4 linked regions of the Saccharomyces cerevisiae S288C genome follow. Each later gene encodes a partner of the first gene's protein in a complex. Each region holds a gene or a part of one and is shown in the gene's direction. Other genes may lie near its edges.

Region 1 (8,235 bases):
TGTTTTTCAAGATATTCAAATATATAGTGAAAACGATTTTTAGAATTTCGGATTGGTTTCTTTCTCTTTCCTCCGCAGAAACAGCTTGCTCAGCGTTACGCATTTCTTCCTCAATTTGTTGCATCTCTTTTCGAGCTTTTCTTTGCTTCTTAGAAAGATGGACCCTATCTTTCTTTTTGAGCTTAGGAGCGCTAACGTTACCTTTCAATTTAGTATTAGGGTCATAGTCATGTAAGACATCTAACGATAATAACATATTTAAAACAGATTCTTCGATGTTGAAGTTCCTCGTCTTTAGTATTTTGTTGAAAATTCTTAGTATCTCGAATGATATTGAGCCCTCTTCGTCCTCATTTAATAGAGTTTCAAATGTCTGGATTATTTGAATGGAAGTTGGATCTGTTGAAATTCTTGGTTTACAAATTCTACGCAACAGTAAAGTGAAAATGTCTGTTCTAAAGTTGAAATGGGATGCCGTTGAAATCAATTCTTTTGCGGCTTGAGTGGCCAAAATCCCTAATGAAACCTGTATAGGAGCAGCATTACTGGGAGTTTTTGAAAGACTCTGTAATCTTCCGACGTAATTTTTGTAGTTATAAACTAAGGCTTGCTCAAAGTTTCTAAGCTTGGAGACTTCTTTAGAAACTTTTTCCTTCTTTTCAGTTTCAGTTAGTGGTCGAATTCTATAGCCTGGTATGATACTCTTAAACACGGGGACCAAAGCCAACATGGAAAACTTACAAGTATTAGGATTTTTAGATTCCACCATTTTACATAGACGCCCCAACGCAGCAGTATTTTCTTCAGGCTCCTCCATAACTTTAGTGACTAAATCGGCAATGTCTTCTTTTAGTTGCAGAATTTTTTCCTCCGTATCAGGCTCATCCTCCTTTGCCTCTGCTTCTTGTTCTTCATTAGGTCCCTCATCATCTTCTGAAGAGTCATTAGAGTCTTCGTCTTCCTCATCATCGTCCTTTGGTTTTTCTTGGGCTTTATGCAATTTTCTTTCAACTTTACCGTTAACTTTTATAGGCAGGCCTTCAACAAGATTTGATGTATCAGACCGATTCTTCCGAGGAACCATTTCGTAATCCTGTTCTTCTTCATCCCAGGATGAGCCTTTTGCGCTATATATGGTATTTTCATCCATATCTTCCGGTGCATTTTGGAAAACATTGCCTTCTAACAAGGAATCTTCGTGCTTTCTTTTCTTTGCAGTCCTTTCCTGAATGCGAAATTGAGATCTATTTCTCTTAGCCATTATTACTATGATATCTCCAGCTTTTATCCCGGAATTATACTCTTATGATTGAAGACATAAAATGCCAAGTTTATACCATGAAAATACTATATATGGCAGGCAGGTGAATGAGATGAGATAAAATTTTCAGTTTTCGGGCATCGCTGAAAAAATTCAAAAACTAAAGTAAAACGACGTCCCATGGTCTACTCTACGGTGAAGAAAATGAGGGAAGACATTGAATTTCTGAATCTAAGTAACTACAAAAAAGCATACACTCCATGGAAAGAGTAAAATAGGATAAATTGGTTTTATGTAGTTAAAGAAAAAATACATTGTTATATATGGAGTTTGCTGCGCGCCTAGGCGTTCTCGAAGTTTCTCCTTTGATTTTACTTTTTGGAAGGGCTTTGGACAATTTAAAGAAGATAATTTGAAGTACCCCATCAAATGCTAGAATGAAATATTTAATATACTAAATTAAGGCTGGTATTTAAAAACGTAATCTTATGTGTAGAACCTCAGTGAAAAAGCGCTATTATTAATATAACAGTATTTTCACGGAGCTTTTTTTATTCAAAAAGGTTTTCAAGACTTGGCAGAGGACGGCTGCATTCTCGAATGATAATATAGTATTATCCTTAGGATCTAAATAACTTGCATCAAGAATGATATCTAACTTTTCCTTACCTTGGAAAAGTAAGTCAGTAGCTTCTATAATTTTCTGCATTCTTGTTGGAGTGGCAATAAAATATAGTGAATCTTTATTTTTGTTTGATTTTTTAGAGCTGTCAGTAAGTAAACGTTCCACGGTGGCTATGTCATCCTTTAGTTTACTTTTAGAGAATAATTTGACGCAATTTTTGCCACCGTTTAGACTACGATAAACGTCTGCTACTCTAATATTAGACATAGAAAAAACAATTTTTTTTGGAGCTACGGAAAATTTTTGAATAAAGGCTGGGAAATTGCTTAATCTGCGTTCAGCGTCAAATTTTTCTGTCGAAAGAAAATCATTTCTTTTGAAGTAAAGTTCCTCTAATTCTAAAACACTCAAGTCAGGATTTTTTTCTCGTATCAAAGTTGTTAGGTACTCAATAATTTTTTCTGGTGAACTTGCTGGAAGTGCTTTTCGTTGTGAGACGATATACTGGCTTTCCTCTTTCTTTTTCTCAATTAGCTTTGATTTTTTCTGTAGCTTTTTCTGTCTTTTCGAAATAGGTCTATTCGAATCATCTTCTGAATTTCTCTCCTCTTTTTTCCCATCTATATCATCAACGTCATCGTCATCTTGTTCTATAGACCTCTTTTGTACCTTTTTGGTTGGGGGACTACCATCCTTGGCGTCAAAAATTACTTCATGTTCGGCATCAAAATCATAGGCGAGTCCATCATCTAAATCATCTGGATTAGACATTTTCAGCTCAATTGTCCTGACGATATGTTTAGAAGTTAGTAGCGGGGATCAAATTTCGACTTTCATTGCCTCATCCATGGTCATCTCAAAAATTTTCTCTTCAATTTTTTGGTAAATACCAAGTGCAATGAATGTTTGGGTGTCTTTGAATATTGAATATTACAGACTAAAAATATTATATATTGTAAATTAAAAGTTGATTATTAGTAAATGTACCTGAAATTTCTGTTTTCGATATCAGTCAAGTCCAAAAATTGGTACTTCTTCCTTTCTTGACCTTCTTGTTCCTTATCACGCTTTTCGTTCTCCTTCTTGCAAATGTAGCCAATGTATAATTGTAGGGGAACACAAACACACTGAGTGACCAATAAGGCAATCTTTGCTGGTATGTAACGTGGAGCAGAGTATGCCCTAAACATCTGTGGAGCAATAATACAGGAGACATTGTATACAATCATTGTAATAGCATTTCTAAAAACTCTTTTGGTGTAACCGGAGGTGTTGCATGAATTCCAGATGTAAATATTGGTAATGACACAGGAACCACTGTAAAGCAAGTACAGAGAAAATAAGTTACCGATCTTATGGGATAAGGGTAAACTGATAAGAACGATACAACCTATAATAGCTGGAATATACATAGATGTGGTTATGAGTGTGATATGACCCCAGCGGGACAACATTTGAGTTGTTATAAGAATAATCATAGCCGTAATGGCACCAATAGGCAACTGCAGTAATGCTGTTTCGTACTTGTCGAAACCAAAAGTACCAGTGATGGTCACTGAAAATGTACCAATGGCACCAGTAGAAATTTGAGAACATGCAGTTAATAAAAGCATCGGCCAAGTAAACTTATCATGAAGGAATAGTTCTTTAACTTGCTGCTTCTTAAACTTCTTTGTTTCCAGGCCAGTTTGGTTAGCTCTGATATGCTCAACAACTTGAATTTTTTCCTCTTTGTTTAGGAACCAAGCATTGGTGACGTTATCTGGAAGGTATAAGAATGTTAGAACACCAAACGCAACTGTAACCAGACCAACGACCAAAAACATTATTTGCCAAGAGGTGAAAGCGGTACCATGATAATGTAAAAAGCCAAAAGAAATTAACCCGCCCACAATATAACCTGTACCAGCCTGTGTGGCCCAGAATCCAATTCTTGCACTCTGTTCAGATTTAGTATAGTACATACCACTAATAGCGATACAACCAACTGCACTCGAGGATTCAAAGAGACCTAGGAGAGTACGAACGACCATCAACGAGGCGTACGTCTTACAAGCAGCATGGCAAGCCAACACGATACCCCAGACGGTAATAAAAGTACCTAGGATTTTGGAAATGGGGAATTTTTGAATTAAGTAAGTGACCACAGGTTCCATGAAAATGTAAGCAGCAGAAAAGATAGTACCCAAATTAGAAAATTCGTTACCTTTCAAATGATCTTTGATACCCATAGATGCAGCGTAGTTCAGCAGAGCCTTATCCAAAAACATCAGAAGATATGTACAGCATAAAAAGGGCAGGATGAAGAGGTCAACTTTTCTCAGGACCTTAGGAGATAATTCATGGGAACCATAGAAGTTGGCTTCTTCGCCTGCTACAACATCGTCTTCATTAGCCGTGGAGCTTTCGTCGAGACCGTTCTGTTTCAGGAATCTTAAAGCAACGTCCGCATCGTCTACATTAATGCTCGAGGTACTTACGGAACAACTATCAGCGTTAGCTGCCTTCTTCTCCACGTCCATGGATCGTTGTGACATGTTTTTCATTGTATTGATTTGCTGACACTCTCACTACTTCTCAGCAACAACAAAGTAAACTTTAATCTATCATACTTTGAACTATCTTATATACGTGTATATATGCACCCGCTGAGATGCTCATCGAGATTGCTCATCACCTCTGAAAAGGCTGTCTGTCACCACCATGTTTTCCGCCGGACCAAATGACAGTTCCTTAAGGGAAACTCAAAGAGACTATATTAACTAAGGAGGATCAACCAGATATGCAAAAAAAACAAATAGTTATGACGGCACTCGAACCAACCAAACACCACCCTATAATTAATGTTGATAATGATAGCGACTCGAAATTTGCCAATAAAACCTGTCTATTACGCGTCATCTACTTGAGAGTAATATACTGGAAGTTCGAGATACTCCGCACAGGGTCTGGGTGGTAGGTTTCTTTGCTATTGTATAGTTTTTCAAGATACGTAAAAGGTCTTCATCTTATCTTATATAGATGCAGGTGATTACTAGTGGGGCAAGTCGGCAGCTAATTGCGTGTGTGCGGAAGGATTGTGCAGTAGAATGGCTCCTGTAGTTATTTCAGAATCTGAAGAGGATGAGGATAGAGTTGCCATTACTAGAAGAACTAAGAGACAAGTTCATTTTGATGGCGAGGGAGATGATCGTGTAGACCAACAGCAACAGCAGCACAGTTCAAGCCACAGGGATAGGGATAAACATGTGCAGCGTAAGAAGAAGAAAAGGCTCTCGAATAGAAACCTGCAAGGTTCAAATGGTGGGTACGCTTGGGAGGATGAGATCAAGAGAAGTTGGGATTTGGTGAAAGTGGACGATGAAGGGGATATGGCATCTCTTGTGGCTAGCATAGTCGAGGCCAGAAAGAAACGTACTGCTAAGAAAAACATAACGCCATACCAAAGAGGTATTATCAGAAGTTTAATATTAACACTAGATTGTAGTGAAGCTATGTTGGAAAAGGATTTGAGACCAAACAGGCATGCCATGATTATCCAGTACGCCATAGATTTTGTCCATGAATTTTTCGACCAAAATCCGATATCTCAAATGGGTATTATCATAATGAGAAACGGTTTGGCACAACTGGTCAGCCAAGTTAGCGGAAACCCGCAGGATCACATTGATGCGTTGAAATCCATCAGGAAACAAGAACCGAAAGGAAACCCTTCATTGCAAAATGCATTGGAAATGGCAAGAGGCCTTTTATTGCCTGTTCCTGCGCATTGTACAAGGGAAGTACTGATTGTATTTGGTAGTCTTTCCACAACTGATCCTGGAGATATTCACCAAACTATCGATTCGTTAGTTTCTGAGAAAATTAGAGTGAAGGTTTTGGGGTTATCAGCTCAAGTGGCCATATGTAAAGAATTATGCAAGGCAACGAATTATGGTGATGAATCCTTCTATAAAATTTTACTCGATGAAACTCACTTAAAGGAGCTATTTAACGAGGCTGTTACCCCTTTACCCGTTAACAAAATTAATAAGGGTTTCACACTCGTAAAGATGGGGTTTCCGACAAGGATATTCGAAGATACTCCAACTTTTTGTTCGTGCCATTCCAAGTTAGTTTACGGCGGATACTTCTGTCCCAATTGTCATAGTAAAGTTTGTTCATTGCCCACAGTCTGTCCATGTTGTGACTTGATGCTAATCCTTTCTACCCACCTGGCCAGATCATATCACCATCTGATGCCGTTAAAAACATTTGCAGAAGTACCTACAACAGAAAAATTTCGATCAGAAGACTGCTTTAGTTGCCAGTCAAGATTTCCCATACTGAAAAACCATAAAAATGGTAAACTACTGACAAGTTCTCGCTATCGTTGTGAAGATTGTAAACAAGAATTTTGTGTTGACTGCGATGTGTTCATCCATGAAATCCTTCATAACTGCCCAGGCTGTGAATCCAAGCCCGTAATAACTTAACGAAAATCTGTCAGCGTATAACACGATCACTCTTCCATCATATAACAAATCCAAGTAGTAGAGAACGAAATAGTTTTTGATGGACATATAACTACATAATTATTACAAAAATAACCTCATTTAATGTCCTATTGTTTATTACGAGAAAATCTTAATAGCACTTACGGCATTAAGAATATTTATTACTATTTTCAATTTATCAGGCACTTATTCAACTAAAAAAAAAAAAAAAATTCTTTGTTTTACAATAATATTAATAATTATTTTGAATAAATATCGTTACATTCTATCATAATGTCCTCTACACGGTACAACCAAACTCACAATTCTATTTGAGTGGGCGAGAGGTTTGAATTTTTTCTTACTGGGCTGTGTGTAGGGGTCATAGATGTCGCTTGTTTGAATGAGTGAGGGTTGGAAGGTGCAATAGGTTTCTGTGGAGATTTAACCAAAACACTGTCGGTCATCCGGCTTTCTCCCTGCTTCCAGCTGTCAAAATCAATCAAGGCTTGCATACATCCCCACTCTGTAATTTTCTTACTAAGCCAGTGTAAATTCACTGGTTTAGTCAGGTAGTCGTTACAACCAGAAAGAAGTGCTTTTCTTTTATCCATCTGAGAGTTAGATGCGGTCAATGCTACAATAATCACGGGCGCCTGAGAGAATCTCTTTGAAGTACCTTTTTCAAGATTGGAGTGTGAGTTATTGAGACTTTTTTGAATGCCAATGCCATTTTGTTTTTCGAAGTCCCTAATCTGCTTGGCAGCTTCTATACCAGACAAGACAGGCAGCTGTAAATCCATAAATATTAAATGAAGACCGCCTTCCTTCCAAATATTAACAGCTTCTTGACCATTTTTAGCCAGTTTATATGAGATTTTGTGTTTCCTCAGAAAGGAACCTAAGATAGCTTGGTTGATGACGTTGTCTTCAACTATTAAAACATTAATTTTGGGGAAAACTTTTTCACTTGTGGTGGTAAAAAGGTTTGGTAAAGGATCTGGTGGAGAGGAAACAGCAAAAGGTGCGTTATAAAGCGAGTTTGAGTAATGCGGCGTTTGACTACTTGTTAATATTGGTGATGCGGGCGTAACGTCTTCTTTTCTTCTTTGTACTTCCGACATGGGTTGCGTTATGCCTATACCAGCTTCATTAAGTGATCCGCTTTCTTGCGAAGGGGATCCGGTGTTCACTTCTAACTCTGAATGAGTAATTGTGTCTTCATTATTGAAAGATGAATCCGTGTGGGCCACTGGTTTATTTCGAAAATCTACCCCTCCTTTATAACCTTTTGGTAACAGCAAGATTGCTTGCCAAGGAGACTCGGCATCCTTTTCCTCATCCTTCAGTTCTTGTGACGCTCTTCTCAATTGCTCTTCATCAGTTATTAATTTAAATTCCTGAGGGCTGCTATTGCCATCTTTACCTTTAAGATCTGCTTTATCACCAATTGTTTGCTTAAGACCTTGTTCGCCCGGAGAAATATGGTCGTCTAGATGAAAAACACCAACGGCCCCATGGTCTGTTGGTTGAGTTTTCTGCTGCGAAATTTCTTCATTCGTAGGAACATAGTCTACAACATTTAAGATATCTAAAGGCGGTACATCCTGGCGTAAATTAACATTCGAAAATATCAGCAAAGGCTGCGATGCAGGTTGGGAACCCATGGTTCCGAATAGTTCCTTATATATGTTAATAGCCAATTCATCCGGTTCAAAGATGATTTTATAAGTGCAATCATTAACTGATTCTGTGGTAAAATTTAAACCTTTTCTAATCAACGGCCTTGTGTATTTATTTTTATTATGCGGTGAGACGTATGTAAGACCAGCTGATGCCATAATTTGATTATCAGAATGAAATTTAGGGTAGGG
Region 2 (5,441 bases), on another chromosome or scaffold:
TCAGATGACTATGGATTATTTATTCACGGTTGAAGTAGAATCCAATAATCCGTACGCCTTAGAGCTATCCGATGAAAATCATAACATTTTTAAAACAGCATTAGATTTTCAAAGGTTATTTTACAATTTATTGAATGTTTTCAACACAGCAAACACATTTAGAGAAAAAATATCGTACTGCATTCTAGATCTTTTGAATCATTTTTATAATTACTACTTGGGGCTATTTAATTCCTTGATTGGTACTTCTGATAGACATTTAACTAGGAAAATAATTACGGCATGGTTGCAGAATGGTATTTTGATGGATCAAGAACAAAAAATTCTGAATGGGGATGAGACACTCTTTCATGAAGAATCCATAGAGTTATTTAAGGAAATACCTCATTTCTATCAAGCGGGTAAAGGTTTGAGCAAATCTGATTTATTCAATAACTTGACATTGGACACAATTCTGCAGTTTTCGGCAAGCGTGTTATGGATATTAAACTGGCTGCCAGGCTTAAAAAAGGCTATCAATATTGATGAAGTAAGCCAAGAACCCATGTTAGATGCTGATAGATTAAGGAGCAGCTGGACATTTTCTGAATCAATGGATTTAAACTATTCGAACCCTAGTTCCAGCCCAAATTCATTAGGAAATCTAAAAATTTTATTGGATGATAAAGCCTCCAAAAAATTTGATGAGACTATCGACGGATTCAAAACCTTGAAATTCAAACTAATCACTATACTGAGGTTCAACATTAGGGCCTTGTGTATATACGACATCGGGTCTTTTTTTCAAAACACCAAAATTTGGAATATGGATGTGGGTAGTATTGAATTAGATCAAAATATAGCTTCTCTAATTTCCGAATTAAGAAGGACTGAAAGCAAATTGAAACAACAGTTACCAGAAAAGGAAAAAAACTCCATATTTATTGGTCTTGATATAGTCAACAACTACGCCTTGATTAAGGGTGCCAAATCCATAAAAGTTTTGAACCATAACGGGATAAAGAAAATGTTGAGAAATGTAAATGTCTTACAACATGCCTATAGAAATCTTTCTTCTGAACCATCAAAAATTAATATGAACGTCACAATGAATTTTTACTCTTTATGCGGCTCCAGTGAAGCTGAACTATTTGAATATATAAAAGACAATGAATTACCGCATTGTTCTGTCGAAGATTTGAAAACCATATTGAGGCTGCAGTTTAGCGAGGAAATGCATCGTCAATTGAAGAGACAAAGCACTAGCTCAACTAAGGGTTCCATAAAACCTTCCAATAAGAGGTACACTGAAGCTTTGGAGAAACTAAGTAACCTCGAAAAAGAGCAGTCGAAAGAAGGAGCCCGCACCAAGATTGGAAAACTTAAAAGCAAATTGAATGCTGTCCATACTGCAAACGAAAAATGACATTTTTAGTTTGTGTAAAATTAATTTGATAAATAAATGAATGAAAATGATCAATAATAAGCGAATAACTATATTTTTAATTACCTTATTTTTACAATATTTTTCACTTGCACTTTTATTTTATTTTCAGCGCGCAGCTCGTCTTGTTCTGTTGAAATTCAAAGATACCTGAAGGAACATTACAACATCAATCAACACTTGAGTAGAAATATACACGATCCAATAAAATATACTGAAGCGAAGCAATCAGAAATGGATGCAATATCTGATCCAACGTTTAAGCATGCTAGATCAAGAAAACAGGTTACTGAAGAATCACCATCTTTGCTTACCGTTATTATAGAAATTGCACCAAAGTTATGGACAACTTTTGATGAGGAAGGAAATGAGAAAGGAAGTATAATAAAGGTTTTAGAGGCATTGATAGTATTTCTCAATGCTCACTTAGCGTTCAATAGCGCCAACAAAGTAGCAGTCATTGCTGCATACTCTCAGGGAATCAAATATTTATACCCAGAGAGCACATCTGCTCTAAAAGCCTCTGAATCTGAAAATAAAACCCGTAGTGATCTTAAGATTATTAACTCAGATATGTATAGACGTTTTAGAAACGTTGATGAGACGCTAGTGGAAGAAATATATAAACTATTTGAGTTAGAAAAGAAACAAATCGAACAAAATAGTCAAAGGAGCACGCTAGCAGGTGCCATGTCAGCTGGGCTGACTTATGTAAACAGAATATCAAAAGAGTCAGTAACTACCTCATTAAAATCAAGGCTACTTGTTCTTACGTGCGGGAGTGGCAGTAGTAAAGATGAAATTTTCCAATACATCCCTATAATGAACTGTATTTTTTCCGCAACAAAAATGAAATGTCCCATTGATGTCGTAAAGATTGGTGGTTCTAAGGAAAGCACGTTTTTACAGCAAACGACGGATGCCACAAATGGCGTTTATTTACATGTTGAATCTACAGAAGGGCTAATTCAATATTTAGCAACTGCAATGTTTATTGATCCGTCGTTAAGACCTATAATTGTTAAGCCAAACCATGGATCTGTAGATTTTAGGACATCATGCTATTTAACAGGGAGAGTTGTTGCCGTTGGATTCATCTGTTCAGTTTGCCTATGTGTCTTATCAATCATACCGCCCGGAAATAAATGTCCTGCTTGTGATTCTCAATTTGATGAGCACGTAATTGCCAAGTTGAAGAGGAAACCAGTTGTTCCAAGGTTGAAAGCCAAAAAGAAGGTGACGAAACCATGAACGAAAGGAATGAACATTATCCGTTTCAAGCAGGTAACCTTCGTCACAATGCATCGTAATAATACATAAAAAAAAATTAGCTTTAAGCACATGTATATTGGACATTCCACAGAAAAAAAAAAGCTTTTGATGTGATTAGCTTAAGACGTTGTGTCATCTTTGAACTGTTTTGACTTCAATCATATCGAATTTGATAATATAACTATCTATGTACTGTCTGGGTGCATCGCTGTTGTTGCTTCGGTAGATTTATTAGTTCGCTTTGGATAATGTATCATACAATAACATTGCCAACATCCATCATAACAGAAACATTAGGTGATAAACAATGAAAAGAGGAGAAAGCCAGGCGCCTGATGCCATCTTTGGTCAATCTCGTGCATTTGCACTATCTGATTCTTCAGTGAATCCTGATGTCATTGAATATCTTAAAAGTGTTAGGCAAGAAGCACTAAGAACCAACGCCATATCGATTAAGAATCATATGAATCTGCAAAAGAGGACGCGTCACAAATCAAGCATGTACGATGATGAGGATGAGGGGGCCCTTAAAAGGCACGCCATCTCGCCATCCTTGATTAGGCTTCAAAGGAATGTAGAAATATGGGTAAGGTGGTTTAACTCTGTGAAGGCGACGGTGTTGACTAATGCCTACGAGTTTACCGGTTATGAGGACGAAACACTGGATCTTTTATTGCTTTTCTTAAAGAATTATCTCGAAGATATGCCCAGCAAATGTACTACAGTTGAAAAAATTATAAGTGTCCTAAATCAGCATTCCTTTCCTGAGAAGGCAGAAGAGAAGGAAGAAAATCTTCAGATTGATGAGGAATGGGCGAAGAATATTTTGGTACGGCTGGAAAAAACCAAGATTGACAGTGTTGAGGATGTAAAAAAAGTAATCACTGAAGGAGATAAACATGAACTAGTTGGATACAACCAGTGGTTCCAATACCTTATAAACAATGAACCGCAGCATACTACTTTTCATGAAAAGATTACCTCTAAGCAACTTTGGGTTCTGATCAAGTATATGTCGAATACATGGATAAAAGAAATACACAAGAAAGGAAGGCATTATCGTCGGCTGCAAGATTGGCTATTCTACATACTGGTACATACACCCGAAAGAGTCACGGCAGAATATACAAGCATCTTGAGAGATCTTGGAAAGAAATGCCTTGAACTGATTCAAAAGAAGCCAGTTGAAGCACATGAGAATAAAATAACACTCCCGAAGGAGATGGCGGAATTGAATGTTGAGATACCAGCCGCGGTGGAGAATATGACGATAACTGAGCTGACAGTGTCTGTTATAGCAGTGAACTATGGTCAAAAAGACTTGATAGAATAATGTAAATAAATTTCTTATGTAGTTTTTTACAGGAAGTAAAAAGTGTTATTACTTTGATTGACTCATTCTTACATTTACTGATAGGCCGAAGATAAGCGGCGCCCTAAGAAAACTCGAGCGCAAATTGTCAGCGATGATGTAGCCATGCTATAGCATCAATCAATGTCAATAAGCTAATAACAACTATCATCTATACTCCAACGCAGCTCTCTTGTTTAGGTTTCTCGTCAATCAAATTCGCATCACGAAGAAGTATGTCTGAAGAATTTCCATCTCCTCAACTAATCGATGATTTGGAAGAACATCCACAGCATGATAATGCTCGAGTCGTGAAAGATTTGCTTGCAGGTACAGCGGGTGGTATTGCGCAAGTGCTAGTGGGCCAGCCCTTTGATACGACAAAAGTTAGGTTACAAACATCGAGCACCCCAACAACAGCCATGGAAGTCGTCAGAAAGCTGCTTGCCAATGAAGGGCCTCGCGGGTTTTACAAAGGAACTCTGACGCCATTAATTGGTGTTGGTGCATGTGTTTCATTACAATTTGGTGTTAATGAAGCTATGAAGAGATTTTTTCATCATCGCAATGCTGATATGTCATCGACTTTGTCATTGCCACAGTATTACGCATGTGGTGTCACAGGCGGTATAGTAAACTCATTCTTGGCGTCCCCAATTGAGCATGTCAGGATTCGCTTGCAAACACAGACTGGCTCAGGCACCAACGCAGAATTCAAGGGTCCTTTGGAATGCATCAAAAAATTAAGACATAACAAGGCCTTGCTACGTGGTTTAACACCTACAATATTGAGAGAAGGTCATGGATGTGGCACATATTTCTTAGTGTATGAAGCGTTGATTGCTAACCAAATGAACAAAAGACGTGGACTAGAGAGAAAGGACATTCCTGCATGGAAACTTTGTATTTTTGGAGCATTGTCTGGCACTGCCTTATGGTTGATGGTATATCCATTAGATGTCATCAAGTCTGTCATGCAAACGGATAATTTACAAAAGCCTAAATTTGGTAATTCTATTTCCAGTGTAGCCAAGACTTTATATGCCAATGGAGGGATAGGCGCTTTTTTCAAAGGGTTTGGTCCTACCATGCTAAGAGCTGCTCCCGCCAATGGTGCCACTTTTGCTACTTTTGAATTAGCGATGAGGTTATTGGGTTGATAATTCCTATAGAATTTATGAGCCATCGTTTAAGAAAATAGTACAATATAATGTATAACTTGAAACTCTATCTTCTTATATTCAATAGATGCTACTATGCGTACATATATATGGTGAGTGTGTGTGTTTATATATGCGTAGTAATCACTCGGCAATGTGGAATTGTTACCGTGATAGCCTTCATGCTTACTCTTCCAACCTTCTTAGCAAGTATTCCACCTCAACTTCCTTAGTG
Region 3 (2,478 bases), on another chromosome or scaffold:
GTGATAATCATTTATAGACAATTTTTCATAGTTTTTCATGATAACTTCATCATTATAGATTTCATCACCATTAAAAAGATCAACAATTTTTAATTCTGGAGCATTCCCTTTGGCTAATAAGTTTTCTGGCCGCTTGCTAAAATTCTTCCCCTCCTTCATATCTTCATCTATGGTTGCTTCCTCTTCAATATCTATATCAAAACCTAGGCATAATAACTGATCATCCTTAAACGATGCAAGCCCTGTAATCAACATTGACACAGTAAAATGGCATTCTAATTCAACTTTCTTATCAGGTGTCCCTCTAAAACTCGATGCAGCACTAGACAAGAGAGATCCGATGTTTGTCGTAGGGTTAAAATGACTCATATTATTACTTTGAGAATTAGAGTCACCGGATTTGATCGAATTTGAATCCTTGGTAAAGGAAACTTTAAATAGCCAAATATTAGATCCCCATCCGATAACGACACGATCACTTTCTAAAAAATGAACATGGGGTCTAAATAGATCTGGCCTTACATCCTGTACGTTAAAAATTCTGGAGGGGAATGGAATATTCAAAAGCTGTGATCTTGTAGGAACATCGCAAAATGTTATTCCATCATCATCCATCCATAATATAAGGTCACCCATAGTATAAATTCCCATGATAGGGCCCTTCATATCAGAGGATAGGTCATCTTTTCTTGTTTTTTTCTTTTTCTTCTTGTTTAAAACGATGTCGATTCTATTTCCTAGCCAATTTCTCTGAGATAGTACAACGTCGCCAGCCATTCCACCAGAAACAAACATTCTGGATGCTTGAAAATTTGAGTGCAACGCTACAGAGTTTATAGGTCTTTTGAAATCGTATTGTGTAATGTTTTGTGGATCATCCATCGATCCGATAATCACTGTCCCGTCAATAGATCCCGTAGCAAAATATTTTCCGTCAGTGTTAATACAAAGTATCGAAGATCTATGGCATTTGATGGTTTTAATGGGTTCGAACGCGCATGTAGTTAAGTGTAGAATGCCTGAGTGTGTACCAAATGCAAAAAAAGTATCACCAAATAAACATGAAGAGATCGAGTCTCGTTGAAAAAAGTTCTTCGGGAGTTGACTAATTCGTGTGTACTTCAATAAGGGGGGCTCATCTTCGTCATCCTCATCTTCATCATCGTCATCATCATCATCATCATCATCATCACCTGTTTCTGCATCCGTCGCACTTCCTGTTATTGTACTCTCATCTGTTCGAGAAGCTACTCCATTTTCCGCTTGTGATATGCAACTAACACTTTTTGTTGGTGAAGTTACATTAACGTCTTCCCTCTTATTATCAACATTATTCTCGTCAGAGATGGAATTACTCTCATCAATTGTTCGTTCGCCTGATTGTTGATCCAAAACAGAATCATTCTGATGATTATCTGTAGTCATTAATGTCTAATAGTAGGTATATACTCTTCGTTAAAATGCTTTTTTATTTTGCATATATATTTTACAACAGTCTCAATAGCCCTTTTAATTTTTCTTTTGTATCGTATTATTGAAAAAAGACGAGCAAACTGCAGTAAGATAGAAGTGTACTCCCAATAGAGACAAAGCCAAGATACTTTTGTAAAAGAACGAAAAAATGGCTAGAGCAAGAAAGGGTGCACTGGTTCAATGTGATCCATCCATCAAGGCGCTCATATTACAAATTGACGCCAAGATGAGTGATATAGTACTAGAGGAGTTGGATGACACCCATCTTTTAGTAAATCCCTCGAAAGTCGAATTTGTTAAGCATGAGCTAAATAGGCTATTATCTAAGAATATATATAATCCTATGGATGAAGAAGAAAATCAGTAATTATTGCTCATTCAGCTTTTTCAATACTATTTGAATAGAGCATGACCTGCATAACCAGGTCAGACATGAATATAGAGGGGAAGTGATGATCTAGTGGAAATACGACTATACAGGTATGTACATGTTAGAATAATAAATATAAGGAAGAAAAAGTGGTCAGGTGCAAGTATACATCTTTAACCGTTTTCTTTTCTCATCCTTTTTTGAGAGCCAAATCCCGTTTAATTTTTTCTTTTTCCTCCTCAAGGTCTAAACCAAACTCCTCTTGTATCTTTTTCTCCAACCTAAGCCTTTTCTCTAAACGTTCTTTTTTCATCCTTGCCAGTTCAGCTTTAATCTCATAAGGCTCTTTTGGTATTTGGTTCAACGTTGCAGGATCTGGCCAAAACCCTGGAACATTTAATTTTTTATCAGTATCTGTACCAATATAGTACATTACAGCAACAGGTGCTAGCAAACAAAATGAAAATCTAAAGATCTCCAGTTGCGCCCTTGTATATTTAAACTTGAAGTTATTAAATAGACCCATTTTGTACTTGTCGAAGTGATTACTTTTGTTTGTCAGCCCTTATTAAATTGTTATAGAACAGAAAATATCAGCAAGATGCGCTGATATATTGGAATTATACGGGAAAAAA
Region 4 (9,795 bases), on another chromosome or scaffold:
GGTATAAAAGAATGTAAACATAAGGAATATTAATCTAGTAATTTTTTTCTCATGAGGTTGAGAAAGCATCTAAAATAGCAATTAGCAAAATGGAGAAGATCAAAGAGAAATTGAATAGCTTAAAATTAGAATCTGAGTCATGGCAAGAAAAATATGAGGAGCTGAGAGAACAGCTCAAAGAATTAGAGCAATCTAACACTGAAAAAGAAAACGAGATTAAATCTTTGTCCGCTAAAAACGAGCAACTCGACAGTGAAGTGGAGAAGTTAGAGAGTCAATTGTCTGATACAAAGCAATTGGCTGAAGACTCCAATAACTTGAGATCTAATAATGAGAACTACACCAAGAAAAACCAGGATCTAGAACAACAGCTAGAAGACAGTGAAGCCAAACTGAAGGAAGCAATGGATAAACTGAAAGAGGCCGATTTGAACTCTGAGCAAATGGGTAGAAGGATCGTTGCTTTGGAAGAAGAAAGAGATGAATGGGAAAAGAAGTGCGAAGAATTCCAAAGCAAATATGAAGAAGCTCAAAAAGAATTGGACGAAATTGCTAATTCATTGGAAAATTTATGATTCCCATTGATAAGACTAAAATTACGGAAGATACAAACGACAAACGCGCTAAAGGCAACGGAGGTGATGATTTTATTATTGCTCACACAACTGATGTTGCTGACAGATGGCAAATCCTTTTCATTTTAGTTATTATCATTGGGTGCTTTTTGGAAAAAAGATGAACTAAGCCTCTCTTTATTTCGTCCATTTTATTCTAGCTTTTACATTATGCTTTCACCTTTACCAAAAAATAGTATGTATTTCTTTTCCCCTTGCTATAAATCAAAAGTACGTAGAAACATAAACAGGCGAGAAATACATATGCATATACGTCTACACTACTAATTTAATTTCCACTTTCTTAATATCAGTCAATCGAAACCACTAGCTTTCACACTAAGACTAGACCCTGTTTAACTAATATAAACTTTTCCAGAAAGCTAAAAAAAAGGTCGGAAAAAGAAGGTATACGTTTTTGCGACGACTGAGATCCAAGAAGAAAAAAAAAATAGTAATCGTTGCGTCAGCTTTATGAATAGATGGGTAGAGAAGTGGCTGAGGGTATACTTAAAATGCTACATTAATTTGATTTTATTTTATAGAAATGTATACCCACCTCAGTCATTCGACTACACTACTTACCAGTCATTCAACTTGCCGCAGTTCGTTCCCATTAATAGGCATCCTGCTTTAATTGACTATATAGAAGAACTTATACTGGATGTTCTTTCTAAATTAACGCACGTTTACAGATTTTCCATCTGCATTATTAATAAAAAGAACGATTTATGCATTGAAAAATACGTTTTAGATTTTAGTGAATTACAACATGTGGATAAAGACGATCAGATCATTACGGAAACTGAAGTGTTCGACGAATTCCGATCTTCCTTAAATAGTTTGATTATGCATTTGGAGAAATTACCTAAAGTCAACGATGACACAATAACATTTGAAGCAGTTATTAATGCGATCGAATTGGAACTAGGACATAAGTTGGACAGAAACAGGAGGGTCGATAGTTTGGAGGAAAAAGCAGAAATTGAAAGGGATTCAAACTGGGTTAAATGTCAAGAAGATGAAAATTTACCAGACAATAATGGTTTTCAACCTCCTAAAATAAAACTCACTTCTTTAGTCGGTTCTGACGTGGGGCCTTTGATTATTCATCAGTTTAGTGAAAAATTAATCAGCGGTGACGACAAAATTTTGAATGGAGTGTATTCTCAATATGAAGAGGGCGAGAGCATTTTTGGATCTTTGTTTTAAGTGCAAAAATGAAATTTGAAGAATGGAATTAAAATTAAATGTCTCTAAGTATAAAAACTAAATAAAATATAGGGTATCTGTAAACCACTAATAAAAAATAAAACAGGAAAATAAAATTAAGCAAAATATCGTTGCGTATAATCACAGCATTTCTGGGATGCGTCCGTGAATGTCCTTAACTTGACCAACATTGACATTACTCTTATTTGAAAAATCTACTAACCTTTTCTTACTTGGTCTTCTGTCTGGTTCCATGCTATGGACCCAGCAAAAATTTTCACCATCTTTAACCGGAACAAAATCGTCAGAAGATGAAGTTGACATTGTTGTGGGAGTGATTCCGTTTTTACCGCTTTGAGAGTCTTGAATATTTTGTAAGTGGCGGTTACGATGCTTCGTTACGTTATATGGTGATGGTGTTACTGATTTTCTTACGGGAGAAGGGCTAATATTGCTGTTCCAAGGGTCCAGTGAAGACATAGTGACATCCCTTGACGTACGTTTTTCCTTCTCTGGTGCTTCTAAATCGAAAAGTTTTTCTGTATCAACAGTTTTTTGTGATCCGTAACTGTCTCTGACAATATCAGAGACTGGTGACAGGTTGCCAGTATATCGCCAGGATTTATTTACTGCTGGTTCACTATCCATATACACAGAAGAAGACCTATTCTGTGGGTCAAAGAACGGGCTCTCTGGAGGCTGTACTGGGGGTTTTGCTAATAATTCTTCTTTACTTTGGGATTGGAACTGATCATTGTATGTATTCATACCTGATAGAGAATCTCTCTTTTCATCCACGCTGGAAATATCAGATTCAGTGGCAGAGTGGTTATCCAATTTCAAAGTGTTCAAAGCAGCCAATCTTCTTGCTATTGAAGTATCATCGTACGAGGAAGCATCATCATCAAAGGGGTTGTTCAAAGGTGTAGCGTTTTCTTGATTTGGTTTATTTGCAGGATTATTCAAATCAGGTCCACTAATAGCATGCGGTAAGTTTTCATCGTCTGGATTTTCCCTTCTGCGTCTCCAGAATATTAGGAAGCAAATGAGAGCTACTAGGATAACGCCTAATGGGATAGCAACACCGCACGCAATTGCTACTGCTTTTTTATTGTGAGATGAAGTTTTATTGGCTGCTGGCAGCGCTGCTGGAGCAGAAGAAGTAGCAGCAGCGGAGGTAGAAGAAATTTTTGCAGTGTAAGTAGAAGATGTGTAAGAACTTGTTGAGGTGGAGTGGTGAGAACTTCTTGTGGACGTTGCATTCGCACTGTGGTTTGAGTGAGTTATCTTTGAATCCATGCCAATGATGTTAAAATATAGCTCTTGAGATTGTGAACCTTGGTTCGCTTTCAAACCTAATGAAAGCTTGTCGAAATTCTTGGGCACTTCTCCAGCTAATGTTAAATTAGATGATTGGAATTTCACCCAGTCATGGTCTTGGCTTGAATTAGTAAACTCTAATGAAACGTTTGTATTCACGTAGTCTGTAAACTGAGAAGGCAAAAAATAGTAGGAGAACCATTCACCCCTTGTAGCGTTAATATTGGGAAGAGAACTAATGGCAAACAAATCCGTTGTGGAGACAACTTCGAAGTTGAAATAAATCACATCACCATAAGTATCATAAATGGACACAGAAAAATTGGCAGGATTGGAGTTCTTACCGAGTAATTCATCTGGGACAGACCCGGAAATGGTAGCATTATCTAATGCCACCCAGTCTGGAGCATCCAATAAGTTTATAGAACCCAATTTATCAGAAGAAATAGGATCGTCATCGAGATAAACATAGTTTAGAGGTAAGTCATATGAAACGTTACCTGTGTCAGTAACGTTGATTATCAAACTATTTTGAATAGAGGTAGTTAACTGGTGAGCCCCGATGACTAATTCGAATTCTACCTCAACGGCAGAAAATCCTTCAATGTCTGTAGCGATGATGACAAAACTGTAGCTTGTTTCTGGAGCAATCGCCGAGTTTATCACCGGTGCCGTCCCAGTAAACTTCAACTCGCCAGAATCGAAGAACAGCCAATTGGGTAACGGCGCATTATACAACTGAGAACGTCCGTAATACGACACAATGGATTCTTCGTTAGTGAACATTGAACGGTCAAAAGTCACGTTGAAGACTTCATTAGGATCTAGTTTCAGAGCGTTTTTGCCGTTAGTATAACCATAGTTTTTTAACAACGCCAATAGATTGAAATCTGACGATAGCGAGATGGATGGACGGTTTGTAACAACAAATTGGTATGTATTGTTCAAAGACGTGCTGTCGGCAGAGTCCGTACCCTCGAGTATTACATTGAAATACAACGTGGTGTTCGCATCAGATAGTAAGTCAGAAGAAGGTTCACCTGAGAACGTTCTAGAACTAGAGTCAAACGAAAGCCAGCTCGGTAAGTCGAAGCAATTGTATGTTATTTGAGCTGTCTTGTCTACAGACGATTTATAGGTATCATTGGAAATTTGAAATGTAAACGATTCATTGACTCTTGCCACTGGGGGGTATTGTTTTCCGATAGGATATGCCTCATAGGGCGTGGCCACTACTAGATGGAGTAGTGATATAGTAGCTGTCAGCAATAATGAAATCTGAAGCTGTGTCATGGTAAGTGAATGCTTCTTGATATACGTAGATGTTGGAAGCAGGAAATCGTTTCGAGGAAGATATAATTTTTCTATTAAGTAATTGTTCTGTTCTTCTAGTGATGGTGGCTGTTGCAGTGTCAATCACTACAGGATGTGAGAGTAAAGAATAAGAAAATAAGTTCTCATATGAAAAGTGAAAATTACTCGACAAAGGAGGGCGACTCTCGGCAAGGAGCTTTGAGGTTGTGGAGATGCTATCTTTAACCATACCTACGATGGGTATTATTACATTCTTGAGACAGGGCTCGAGTACTGCTCGAAGAGGAAACATAAGTTGCCAAAATTTATTTGTGACGCGAATTGCCAAAAGTTCTATGACGCGTTGTTCTTTTTTTTTCGCGTCTTTGAATTATATAGTGGATAATTTTTGCGTTCTGTTTCTAATTATAATAATGACAGTGTGGCGGTTTATTATTTTCGAGGTATATCCTAAATATGTTACATATGTTGTCTATTGGCGGTTCTTGGTCTTGCACGGATGATGTTATCCACCCTTAGTAGAACTTCAGCGGCTTCAGATGCAGAGCTGACTACTGCTCGTTTTAGCTTGTAACTCTCGACGATACCTAACTGTCTCATGTCGGCAATGGTTCCGTTGTTGAGATCTAAACCTGAGGTGGAGATACCGTTGTATATGGAGGATCTTAGTTTGGACACAAGTTCGCTGCTGTCAAAACCAGCATTATCTGCCAAAATGGTTGGCAGTTGTCTCAGAGCACGGGCAAAAGCCTCCACGGCAAGGGACTTCTTTCCGTCGATGTTTTGAGCTTCGGTGTCCACAGCTTTTGACATGACCATCTCGGCGCAACCGCCGCCAAGAACAGTTCTTGTTTCCTTTGTGGTCTGTGACAACACGGACAATGCGTCATGCAGGGATCTCTCAGCTTCATCAAGCGTTTGGTCGGTAGCACCTCTTAGGACGATGGTACAAGCTTCACCAGCTTTGCAACCACTAAACTTCAAGAATGGCTGTTCACCAAGCATAATTTCCTCGATCACGTCACATTCTCCCAGTTTGCATTTACTTGGCTCGTCAAATGTAGACACCACCTCACCGCCTGTAACCAGGGCGAGCCTTTCTACACCTTCAAAATCAGCATGCTCAATTGAGTTTATGCCCAAATCTGTAAATAATTGCTCTGGATAGTCATAAATTAGTTGTCTATTGATGAAAGTGTTGATACCAAACTTGGAAATCTTGGCAATTTTATTCTTCATCTTTTCACGTTCTGCCTTTTCTAGTTGTGCCAATTTAGCAGTAGAATCGACTTTGAATTTGGTGCCGAATATTTTGACCTTGTCTGTATCCAAAGTTGTATTGGCGATTAGAATCTTAGCATTTTCAATTCTCTTGGGTTGGTTGTTACCAAATTTTTTGGCAAGAATGAAACCTTCGTCAAGGAACGAATCTGATAGCTTTCCACCAAGAATCTTAATGATCTGAATATGTTCTAAGTTAGTGGAGCCCTTCAATCTCAAAATAGCATTAGTTGCTAATTCTGCGAAGTGATCCTTATCCTGAGACAAAATTTTGGAAGATAAAGTAGTCTTGGCAATATGGATCAGATCTTCACGGAACATGGTCTTATCATGAGAGTTGTCAACAGCCGCTTTCGTTAACGCATCCAATGCGGCTGCTGAAGCTAGTCGGTAACCTTCAATAATAGTTTGAGGGTGGATTTTGGATTGATCAATCAACTTCTCTGCTTCTCTAAGCAACTCTGCGCTCAAAACAGTAACACTAGTGGTACCATCTCCAACTTCGTCATCCTGCACCTTACTGATGTTCACCAACACTTTGGCTGCGGGATTATCCAGCGGAATTGACTTCAGAATCGTAGCACCATCGTTTGTTACCATGCAAGTGTTACTGGACGCACTTTGCAATAATTTATCCATCCCTTTTGGGCCTAATGTGCTTTTCACCAAATCACCCACGGCAATGGCACCGACAAACGCCGACAAACGGGCGTTTTCCGCTCTTTCTTCTGTAACCTGGTCTCCAAATATCTGTACACTCATCCTGAATCTTTTGAGCTTTGTACGACTGACTCTTCTTGCCTATTTAATGGCCACCTTTCATCCTCTTTTTTATTGCTCTGCTCTTGTCTTTTAAACTCGCCACCGCGAAGAGAAAAAAATTTCAGATCGTTAGAAACGAGGTTTTTCTTCTAAGAAGTATAAGGAAAAAGGTCCTTAGTAAGGATAGATAATAGTAATGATATCTACATTATTTAGTAAAAGTAGCATCTACTGACGTTGGAATCAGTGGAAGATAAATCATGACGGACGTTGAAGGCTACCAACCTAAGAGCAAGGGGAAAATCTTTCCAGATATGGGTGAGTCCTTTTTCTCATCAGATGAGGATTCACCAGCTACTGATGCAGAGATCGATGAGAACTATGATGATAACAGGGAAACGTCAGAAGGACGTGGAGAAAGGGATACCGGCGCCATGGTAACAGGGTTGAAGAAGCCTCGGAAAAAGACCAAGAGTAGCAGGCATACAGCGGCGGATTCCTCTATGAATCAAATGGACGCTAAGGATAAAGCGCTTTTGCAGGACACTAATAGCGATATACCAGCAGATTTCGTTCCAGATTCCGTCTCTGGAATGTTCAGAAGCCATGACTTTAGTTATTTGCGGTTAAGACCAGACCATGCTTCCAGGCCCCTTTGGATCTCGCCAAGTGACGGTAGGATCATTCTGGAGAGTTTCTCTCCATTAGCAGAACAGGCTCAGGACTTTCTGGTCACCATTGCAGAGCCTATAAGTAGACCCTCCCATATTCATGAATACAAGATCACAGCATACTCTTTGTATGCAGCTGTTTCTGTAGGGTTGGAGACGGATGATATCATTTCAGTTCTGGATAGATTATCCAAAGTACCCGTTGCTGAATCGATAATCAACTTCATTAAAGGGGCTACCATTTCATACGGTAAAGTGAAACTAGTTATTAAGCATAATAGATATTTCGTGGAGACTACACAAGCAGATATTCTGCAAATGTTGCTGAATGATTCCGTCATCGGGCCCCTAAGAATAGATAGCGATCATCAAGTACAGCCACCAGAGGATGTACTACAGCAACAACTTCAGCAAACCGCTGGAAAACCCGCTACTAATGTTAATCCGAACGATGTGGAAGCCGTGTTTAGTGCAGTTATAGGTGGTGATAATGAGCGGGAAGAAGAAGATGATGATATTGATGCCGTTCACTCCTTTGAAATTGCCAATGAGTCTGTTGAAGTCGTAAAGAAAAGATGTCAAGAAATCGATTATCCCGTGTTGGAAGAATACGACTTTAGAAACGACCATAGAAACCCGGATTTAGATATTGATTTGAAACCTTCCACTCAAATCAGACCCTATCAAGAAAAATCGCTGAGTAAAATGTTTGGTAATGGGCGTGCTCGTTCAGGGATTATTGTTTTGCCATGTGGCGCAGGTAAAACTTTGGTCGGTATTACCGCAGCATGTACTATAAAAAAATCCGTAATTGTTTTATGTACTTCATCAGTCTCCGTCATGCAATGGAGGCAGCAATTTTTACAATGGTGTACCTTACAACCTGAAAATTGTGCTGTTTTCACCTCTGATAATAAGGAAATGTTCCAGACAGAATCCGGTTTGGTTGTTTCCACTTATTCAATGGTGGCAAACACAAGAAACAGGTCTCATGATTCACAAAAAGTTATGGATTTCTTGACCGGTAGGGAATGGGGGTTCATTATTCTTGACGAAGTTCATGTGGTGCCCGCCGCAATGTTCCGTAGGGTGGTCTCCACCATCGCAGCACACGCCAAATTGGGACTGACCGCAACGCTGGTTAGAGAAGATGATAAAATTGGTGATCTGAATTTTTTAATTGGTCCAAAACTTTATGAAGCAAATTGGATGGAATTATCCCAAAAAGGACATATTGCAAATGTCCAATGTGCAGAGGTTTGGTGTCCCATGACAGCAGAATTTTACCAAGAGTATTTAAGAGAAACTGCAAGGAAAAGAATGCTACTGTATATCATGAATCCAACAAAGTTTCAGGCATGCCAATTCTTAATTCAATATCACGAAAGGAGGGGTGATAAGATCATCGTTTTTTCAGATAATGTTTACGCCTTACAAGAATATGCTTTGAAAATGGGAAAACCATTTATTTATGGTTCCACACCACAACAAGAGCGTATGAACATTCTGCAAAATTTCCAGTACAATGACCAAATCAATACCATATTTCTATCAAAAGTTGGTGATACTTCCATCGATTTACCAGAAGCTACCTGTTTAATTCAAATATCTTCGCACTATGGGTCTCGTCGTCAAGAAGCCCAAAGATTAGGAAGAATTTTAAGAGCTAAAAGACGTAATGACGAAGGTTTCAATGCGTTCTTTTATTCTCTGGTTTCTAAGGATACGCAAGAAATGTACTACTCAACAAAGAGACAAGCGTTTTTGGTAGATCAAGGTTACGCATTCAAAGTCATTACACATTTACACGGAATGGAGAACATTCCAAATTTGGCATATGCTTCACCCAGAGAACGTAGAGAGCTATTGCAAGAAGTATTATTGAAGAACGAAGAAGCTGCTGGTATCGAGGTCGGTGATGACGCTGACAATTCTGTTGGGAGAGGTTCAAATGGCCACAAAAGATTTAAATCAAAGGCCGTTAGAGGTGAAGGTTCATTGTCTGGTCTTGCTGGCGGTGAAGATATGGCATATATGGAATACAGTACCAATAAAAACAAAGAACTGAAGGAACATCATCCATTAATCAGAAAGATGTATTATAAGAATTTGAAGAAGTGAATAGGCTTGGTTTCATTGTCACCTTCCTATTTTGAATCTATTCAGTCATAATACCTTTTTGTTCCCACCGTCTTCTTATTCTTTCGTCGCTGTTCTTTCTTTTATTGATTCGTCACGTCCATTTTCTTCCATAATATAAAAAATAAAAAAAAAATAGAACATTCCTAATTAAAGCATCCAAATATACTTACATATATTTATTTTAAAAATAACTACATATCAATACTTACTTAAATTGGTTTGGAATACTTGAGAAGGGGAGTGAGGGTGGAATTGAACAAAATGCAGGTTATTAAAATGCGGAAAGGTGGGGCTGAGCTTTGCTGTAGATTGCTCGGGTATTATATATCATTTATTTTATTAATTTGTTACGTTATGTTCAGTTTCAAACTCCAAATTTCGTAACTCTTCAATGACGTTTCCTAATTCGTTTTCAGAGTTTTCCAATGACGATTGAATATTAATTTTAAATTTACTTGTTATATCAATAACATGTATCA

The links.
Region 2: the proteins of SSL1 (region 1) and TFB4 are in contact, whole or in part, in a cryo-EM structure (PDB 7K01), measured with the Saccharomyces cerevisiae proteins. Residues at the interface, in NP_013105.1 of Saccharomyces cerevisiae: Tyr118 (codon at 5,327), Gln119 (codon at 5,330), Arg120 (codon at 5,333), Ile122 (codon at 5,339), Phe317 (codon at 5,924), Thr318 (codon at 5,927), Leu319 (codon at 5,930), Val320 (codon at 5,933), Lys321 (codon at 5,936), Met322 (codon at 5,939), Gly323 (codon at 5,942), Phe324 (codon at 5,945), Pro325 (codon at 5,948), Thr326 (codon at 5,951), Pro350 (codon at 6,023), Asn351 (codon at 6,026), Leu372 (codon at 6,089), Ser373 (codon at 6,092), Thr374 (codon at 6,095), Leu376 (codon at 6,101), Ala377 (codon at 6,104), Arg378 (codon at 6,107), Ser379 (codon at 6,110), Tyr380 (codon at 6,113), His381 (codon at 6,116), Leu383 (codon at 6,122), Phe404 (codon at 6,185), Ser405 (codon at 6,188), Cys406 (codon at 6,191), Gln407 (codon at 6,194); in NP_015381.1 of Saccharomyces cerevisiae: Tyr85 (codon at 1,910), Pro88 (codon at 1,919), Glu89 (codon at 1,922), Ser90 (codon at 1,925), Thr148 (codon at 2,099), Gly151 (codon at 2,108), Ser154 (codon at 2,117), Ala155 (codon at 2,120), Leu157 (codon at 2,126), Thr158 (codon at 2,129), Tyr159 (codon at 2,132), Asn161 (codon at 2,138), Arg162 (codon at 2,141), Tyr193 (codon at 2,234), Ile194 (codon at 2,237), Pro195 (codon at 2,240), Met197 (codon at 2,246), Asn198 (codon at 2,249), Phe201 (codon at 2,258), Ser202 (codon at 2,261), Met206 (codon at 2,273), Asp271 (codon at 2,468), Phe272 (codon at 2,471), Arg273 (codon at 2,474), Val283 (codon at 2,504), Ala284 (codon at 2,507), Val285 (codon at 2,510), Gly286 (codon at 2,513), Phe287 (codon at 2,516), Ile288 (codon at 2,519).
Region 3: SSL1 (region 1) and TFB5 share a complex: the UniProt entries of both Saccharomyces cerevisiae proteins name them as parts of the 7-subunit TFIIH core complex.
Region 4: SSL1 (region 1) and SSL2 share a complex: the UniProt entries of both Saccharomyces cerevisiae proteins name them as parts of the 7-subunit TFIIH core complex.

Annotation. Positions count from the first base shown.
Region 1 is NC_001144.5:155,074-163,308, forward strand, and holds SSL1 (TFIIH/NER complex subunit SSL1), read left to right. Parts: upstream 1-4,975; coding exon 4,976-6,361; downstream 6,362-8,235. Other genes in the region: NOC3 (Noc3p), read right to left, coding at 1-1,261; CMS1 (Cms1p), read right to left, coding at 1,782-2,657; THI73 (Thi73p), read right to left, coding at 2,861-4,432; mitogen-activated protein kinase kinase kinase SSK1, read right to left, coding at 6,682-8,235. UniProt on the Saccharomyces cerevisiae protein: Component of the general transcription and DNA repair factor IIH (TFIIH) core complex, which is involved in general and transcription-coupled nucleotide excision repair (NER) of damaged DNA and, when complexed to TFIIK, in RNA transcription by RNA polymerase II.
Region 2 is NC_001148.4:669,469-674,909, forward strand, and holds TFB4 (TFIIH/NER complex subunit TFB4), read left to right. Parts: upstream 1-1,657; coding exon 1,658-2,674; downstream 2,675-5,441. Other genes in the region: exocyst subunit SEC8, read left to right, coding at 1-1,405; BRR1 (Brr1p), read left to right, coding at 3,003-4,028; YMC1 (organic acid transporter), read left to right, coding at 4,283-5,206; chorismate mutase ARO7, read right to left, coding at 5,393-5,441. UniProt on the Saccharomyces cerevisiae protein: Component of the general transcription and DNA repair factor IIH (TFIIH) core complex, which is involved in general and transcription-coupled nucleotide excision repair (NER) of damaged DNA and, when complexed to TFIIK, in RNA transcription by RNA polymerase II.
Region 3 is NC_001136.10:602,955-605,432, reverse strand, and holds TFB5 (TFIIH complex subunit TFB5), read left to right. Parts: upstream 1-1,621; coding exon 1,622-1,840; downstream 1,841-2,478. Other genes in the region: VPS41 (Vps41p), read right to left, coding at 1-1,425; PET100 (Pet100p), read right to left, coding at 2,034-2,369. UniProt on the Saccharomyces cerevisiae protein: Component of the general transcription and DNA repair factor IIH (TFIIH) core complex, which is involved in general and transcription-coupled nucleotide excision repair (NER) of damaged DNA and, when complexed to TFIIK, in RNA transcription by RNA polymerase II.
Region 4 is NC_001141.2:80,010-89,804, reverse strand, and holds SSL2 (TFIIH/NER complex ATPase/helicase subunit SSL2), read left to right. Parts: upstream 1-6,763; coding exon 6,764-9,295; downstream 9,296-9,795. Other genes in the region: tropomyosin TPM2, read left to right, coding at 90-575; REV7 (Rev7p), read left to right, coding at 1,089-1,826; AXL2 (Axl2p), read right to left, coding at 1,968-4,439; chaperonin-containing T-complex subunit CCT2, read right to left, coding at 4,920-6,503; kinetochore-associated Ndc80 complex subunit NDC80, read right to left, coding at 9,656-9,795. UniProt on the Saccharomyces cerevisiae protein: ATP-dependent DNA translocase. Component of the general transcription and DNA repair factor IIH (TFIIH) core complex. When complexed to CDK-activating kinase (CAK), involved in RNA transcription by RNA polymerase II.